2 linked regions of the Rattus norvegicus genome follow. The protein of the gene in region 1 binds, or shares a complex with, the protein of each later gene. Links are inferred from orthologs where the notes say so. Each region holds a gene or a part of one and is shown on either strand. Other genes may lie near its edges.

Region 1 (3,645 bases):
TGCCCATATGTGAACTGGGACAGTAGCCATGGAGCTAGAACATTCTCCCAGCAGGGCCAGCTGAGGAGAATCGACAAACTCATCCTCATCATTTCCTAAAGCAACAGATCCAACCTCCCTTCCTACTCATCCAAGCCACAGGCAAGAAGGGGACAGTGGCCAGTGCTCCCTGCTGTCCCCACACTCACTGCACTGAAAAGACCATGCTCTCTGGGTCTCCATAGCAACCTAAGGCTCCTGCATAACCTTTTTTTTTCTCTGAACTCAGGCAGGGCCAACTGTAGGATTGTGTCGATTGGTTTGGGGGTGCCTCTGAGTGCCCCCCCCCAGCTGTGGATTGGGGCACCCTGTAAATCCCAGCACACTGTGGATCCCAAACACTCCTCTAGGCCTCTGCTGTGCTGTGCGCACAGTGGCTGCCTCGGGACACTTGGGGTTCTCAGATTTCAGACTTGGAAGCTGACACTCATGACTTTAACCACCACAGGAACCAATATCCTTTTGAGGCCCTTTAGGAGAGCAGGCAGGTGTCAGTGAGGACCAAAGAGGCCATGACACCTAAGGTTTAAGAAAGGGTTGGAGTCCCTGGGGAATCATGTCTTGGGGACAAGATAGCCTGTGGTTAGTGTTGAAGCCCCTTTCAAATGCAGGCGTGTGAAATGGACAGATAAAGAAATAAAAAGACTCCTGCCTCTTTCCCATCTCCGGAAGAGGGAGAGATGATGGGACTGGGTTTGGGGGACATTTGGCCGCTTAGGGATATAATTAGGCTACTTTTGACTGGTTTCCACAGTCCTCATTTCAGCCCTGCGCCTCCATCATTGCCATGAAGCCACAGACCCCACCCACACCCACACCCACACCCACACCCACTGTCCACATGCACACAACACCAGCCCCTCCCCCAGCTTCTTACTTGGCTACTTTCTTGGGTTTCAGCCTGGGCAGCTGTTGACCCATGTCCCCCAGAGGCTGCACCTTCCCGTGTGACACAGAAGGGCACTTCGGTGAGAGCCTGGCAAAAACTGGTGATGCCAAACAGCCCCGTCTCAGAAACCTGCCAAGGGACAGGGCAGCGCGGGCCTTGAGCGGGGCCCTGGGCTGGCTGTGTGGTCGTGAGCGGTCTACAGAGGTCTCGATGCTCTCAGTGACTGGGGGCCCAGGGTTGGCACCAGACCAGCTGGCTTCCCCCTTGCCCTCCAGCCCTGAAGAACCCTCCAGGGCCACTCGGATGGGCGAGGGGCAGATGGCAATGCTGGGCCGCCGGATGAAGCGACTTGGGGAAGGGAAGGGCTTCCTGGGCGAGCGGCAGGATGGTGAGAAGGGGCTGGAGGGAGAGGGAGGCACGCAGGTCCCTGTGTACACGGCCAGGTGAGGGCTGGGAGCCAAGTGCTGACCTGGCTGTGGGAAAGGAGAAAAGGAAGTTCAGTAAGGAGGCATGTCAGGGCCGACAGGCTAATCTCAACTAACACAATCTCCTTCCAGCCACCAGGGCTGATAGGCTATCCTCATCTAATTTGAGCTCCTTACAATCTTATCTCATCTCACTCAATCTCCTTCCAGCCACCAGGGCTGTTGGGCTATCCTCATCTAATTTGAGCTCCTTACAATCTTATCTCACTCAATCTCCTTCTAGCCACCAGGGCTGATGGGCTATCCTCATCTAACCAGATCTCCTTACAGACTATCCTCATCTAACTCAATCTCCTTCCAATGATGCCAATCTGTTCTGGGTGCCTCCAGGAGGGATCGATTGAAAAGGTTACCCTGAGGGACCTGTGACAGTGGCACGGCCAGCCATACAAACACCTCTTGCCAGAATCCATCTGCCACAAACTGACTTTCTTCCAGTCCTGGGGTGCTGGGGTGTGACCCTGCTAAACTTGATTACCCCTCAAATCAAATCTCCAGAAGCTTTTTGTCCCTCCTACCCCCAGGTCACCTCTTCGTCAAACACCATCATTTTAGACCTGGAGGATTTGACACTATTTTGTTGTTGTTGTTGTTGTTGTTGTTGTTGTTGTTGTTGTGTGTGTGTGTGTGTGTGTGTGTGTGTGTGTGTGTGTTCTGCTGGGAATTGAACTCATGACTTTGCCCACGCTAGGCAAGTGCTTTCCCACTGAGCCATCCGCACCCAGACATTTAACTGCAACAGTTTAATGTTAACTGATCAGTGCAAATGGGGAGACCTGCAACTGGTGCCCTGCTGGCCTCCACACCTGAGACCACACCCACCTGTGTCCACCCTGGCAAAGTGTTAGGGGCTCCAATACTAGCACCTGCCCAGGTACCCCCTCAGCCTGGGAACTGAGGAGAGAAAGGCTGTGTGTAGAACCTGAGGAGCTCACAGGAAAGAAGCAATTCTACAGTTGATTCTGTGATTCAGCAGAGAAAAAGGAAGGATCTCATTGTCCGGGCCATCATGGCCCCAGAGTTCAGAGTGTTGGTGCAGAAGGGGAGGGTGTGCCATTTTCTTCAGCTCAGGGAACCTGAAGGAGCTTTTTTCCAAGTTGAGCAAGGAAGTTAAGGCAGAGGTTTCCCTGAGCTCTTCACTGCCGCTACCTCTTCCTTTGTAGGTCACGGAGGAGGGTCAATTGTTGTGGGCTGCTGGGTCCCTTCTGAAGGCCTGCTGTAGGCATTTACCACAGGCCAGCCTGGCATGAACAGAAGCCCCGAGGAGAGGTGGGTGGTGTCTTAGGGACAGCTGAACCACTACTGCTCCCAAGAGAGGTCCATAAAGAACTACAATAAGGGACAGACCTTCCTTGCAACAGCCACACAGAGGTCTTGCTCAGACCCTAAGACTGAAGGGGGCTGCCAGAGCCCTGGGCAGGAGGTTACTAACTTCAGAGTGAGGCCCGCTCTCACAGTCATTCGAACAACCCAGGCCCAGTGTAGAGTCAGCTAGACTCTAGGGCAGCTGAGCAGAACGACCTCACTTGTTACCCAGCAATAGGAAATTAAGACAATGGCAAGATGTGCTTCTGAGCCTCGCTGTGTGACCCAAAAGCCCCTGCTGTCCCTATTAATGTGTGTGGGCCATCACCCTGCCTGTGTAGTTTCTATGTCCTGGAATTGAACTAAGAGAGAGGAGAGAGGAAGAGGGTTGGGTAAGGTGCCTACTAAGTGCATCTGAACCTCTCTGCCTTGGAATATGTCATGAACTCCAGAGATCACCCCGCTTTACAGATAAGAAGTCTGAGGCTCCTGGAGATAAAGGAACTTAACAGAGACTGTGTGGCTTGACTCTTCCTTTCTCCTCCTCTTTCCTTCCCTCTCTCTCTCCCTTCCCCATCTCACCCCTTCCTAGAGCCTAGAACTAAACGTTGGCCACTGTCTTTTCGTCACTTACCTGGCCTGAGATGGCCTCTCCCGGGCAAATGGCCACTTTCCTAGTTGATGCAGGACAGTTTTTTCTCCCCTAGCTCTTTCTCACAGGAAACCATGTGTTTCCACTCTGTTCCTTCCCGTGAAGGCCCGGGCTTGCGCTCCGTAAGCCAGCCCTCCAGTTCATGCGCCTTCTACCGATGATATGAGCAGCGAAGCCACGGCATGCAAGACAAGTGGTGCAGAACGCAGAAACGCGACAGGACACAGACAAAGTAGAACCTAGCTTAGAGCTGGTGTGAGCAGCTCCTTTTTTTA
Region 2 (2,684 bases), on another chromosome or scaffold:
GACACAAAGCCTCTCAGAGCTGCAGTTCCTGGTGACTAATAGGCAATCTCTGCCAAGCGCAATAGTGTACCACAGAGAAAGCACTTTGCATGAACCTCTCTCAGTACACTCTTCCAAAGCCTAGGCCCCGAAGGATTAAGGTACCCACGCACATCTTACTACAGTTGCTTTCTTGTCTAGGGAACAAAATGCCCCCCCCACCATGCTTTATACAACCCCCCACACCTTTACCAAATTGCCTCGTCTAAAGCAGAATGAGAGCTCCCAACCAGTGTGAGGGCACCAAACCTGGGACATATGTGTTAACCCATCAAACCCAAAGGGATCAGAGGTCACTGTGGACCGATTTCTATTAATAGGAGGTAAAGCTCCTACAGGCATTAGAGGTAATGGCCTGACCGCCCTGTGCTGTTAACTCCTCTTGGGCCAGCATGTTAAAAACAAAACAAAACAAAACAAAACAAAACAAAACAAAACCAAAATATGTTTTGCCCAGGCAGAGGTGGGCCTTGAGAGGATCATGTTCACACGCACACATCCGGGCTCACTACCTCTCTCCTTAACGGTTCAAACCCCAAGCCCATGCCCTGGAAAGAGAAGGGGCAGCGGACGGTCGTTGGATATCAGTCAGCTCAGCTTTGCCACACATAAGGCGAGGGCCACAGCCACCAGCAGCACGGCGCTGAAAACGGTGGCAGCCAGGGCCCTGCTGGGGTCGCAGGGTCCCGCGCGCTCCTCTACAGAAATGCCACCCGCGGAGGACGCTCCGGCACTGGCACCGGACAGGAGTTCGGCGCCCGCCGATTGTCGCGCCTGTACAGTCCAGCGGGGCACGTTGACTTTCATTTCCATGTTGTCGATCATCTCGCCCACCTGGAGGACTTCGCGCTCCAACTGGGGCAGATCGGCGACGTCGAAGTCGCTCTCGGCTTCGTGCCGCAGGCTGCGGGCGCTCAGGGCGCGCGCGGCTACAGCAGAGGAGCCGCCGGCCACCCCAGTGCGAACAAGTGGCCGGCGCGGCGCGTGCAGCGGGAAGGCGGCTCCCAGCGCCAGTGCGCGCTGCATGTCGGCTTCGAGCAGGTCCAGGCAGCCCGAAAAGGCCACCCAGAGACGCTCAAACTCCGCGCGCTCCTCGGTAGCTAAGCTCCGGTCGCGGAGTGCGACGGTCAACCGGGAGCCGGTGGCCATGGCCAGCTCCCGCGCCTTCTGGCGGGTCTTCTGCAGTTCTTCGCGTAGGTCCTGTGTGTCCGCGGAGCCGCCCACAGTAAGCACTAAGTGATGGTAGCACGCTGTGGTCTTATTGAGCGCGTCCAGCAGCGCCTTGCACTCCTCTCTGGCCATGGCGCTGCCCTCCGGCGGTGGTGCCCCACTTGCACCCCTCAACGTCGCAGGTCGCCTCCAGCCCTGATGCCAATCTTGGGCAGAGCGGACTGAATGCTCCTCATGTCCTCGCCGCTGCTCTCAACGGAGCTCTCCAGAGACCCTCGACATGCACCTCTGTCGTTCCCACAGACAGAGGTAGTCTGGTTAGCTGCTCCCCAAACGCTCCTCCATTTTCCCTAGACGCGCTCCGAGTCACGCGTAGGGTCTTTGCATAACTTTCTTTTTCACGGCGGCTCCCTGAGAAACCCAGAGTGCAGACCCCATCCTGATCGACCCCAAGTCTTCAAGCTGAGCCGCGCGCCTTAGCCCTGGCCAAGGGCAGCAGGATCGTTTTCTAGGACACGCCTCCAGCCGCCTGTCTAGGCCGAGAGCTTCCTCCCTCCCGCCCTCTCGCCCCCCCGCCCCCCCGCCCCCCGCCCCCCCCGCCTCCCCCAACATCCCTGGACCAGGGGTAGGCGGGGCCCAGTCCAGAGAGGTCAAGTGTAGCTTTTCCTCTTCTCCCTTCCATTATAATTCTGGAACCTTAGCGCCATGCAAATCCAAGTTGTTTTGTTTTGTTTTGTTTTTTACTACTTTGCAGACTAGGAAAAGTGAGACTAGGTAGAAAGAAGGTTTAGCTTATCGGAGCCTATGCTAGTGAAGGGAAAGGACCAAGAGACCCTGTAGGCAACAGAGTAGGATGACTCGGAAGACTGGGCACCTCCAGTCTGCATCACCAGCAGCACAGGGCGATCGGCCTGGTAGAATTGTTACTTAGATGGGACTCTCTTTCTTCATCGCAGTCCAACACCATTTCAGGGACCCAGCTTGGACCCCACCCCTAATATCAGATCTTCCTTAGGTCCCGCCTCTCGAATTCTGGGCACGCGCACTCCCTGACTCTGGGCGGGGCTAGCCTGAGTAGGAAGCGCGGAGTCGCCTGGGCCCCACCCCCGACTGAACTAGACTTAACGATTGCTCTGTTTACGTGTCAGTCTCGGCTAAGATGACCTCTTATTGGACAGACTGGAGCAGGGTTCCGCCCAACGGCGGAGTAAAGAGGTAAGCTGAAGAGTGGAACCACCGCACCCGGGTGGTGGGCACTCAGGTCCCAGCCCAGGATCCGAGAGGTGCTGTCGTAGCACAGAGGTGAAACTATGTAGCCTCTTAAGTAAGTGTATTCTGCGGGTGTCCTCCACCGCCTCCCTACTCTCTGGGGGCGCCGAGGTCGGGCGGGGCCTGGGAGCGGAAGGGGGAGGGGCTCCCTGCGCTGAGTTGGATCCCCAGGCTGGGCTGCTGGGCACCCCCGCGCCCCGACCCGT

What was found.
Region 2: Rgs9 (region 1) and Rgs9bp share a complex: the UniProt entries of both Homo sapiens proteins name them as parts of the RGS9-1-Gbeta5 complex. The link is inferred for Rattus norvegicus from reciprocal best matches to the Homo sapiens genes RGS9 and RGS9BP.

What each region holds. Positions count from the first base shown.
Region 1 is NC_086028.1:94,697,372-94,701,016, forward strand, and holds part of Rgs9 (regulator of G-protein signaling 9), read right to left. Parts: intron 1,402-3,645; coding exon 917-1,401; intron 1-916. UniProt on the Homo sapiens protein: Inhibits signal transduction by increasing the GTPase activity of G protein alpha subunits thereby driving them into their inactive GDP-bound form. Binds to GNAT1. Involved in phototransduction; key element in the recovery phase of visual transduction.
Region 2 is NC_086019.1:97,385,699-97,388,382, forward strand, and holds Rgs9bp (regulator of G-protein signaling 9-binding protein), read right to left. Parts: upstream 1,342-2,684; coding exon 628-1,341; downstream 1-627. UniProt on the Homo sapiens protein: Regulator of G protein-coupled receptor (GPCR) signaling in phototransduction. Participates in the recovery phase of visual transduction via its interaction with RGS9-1 isoform.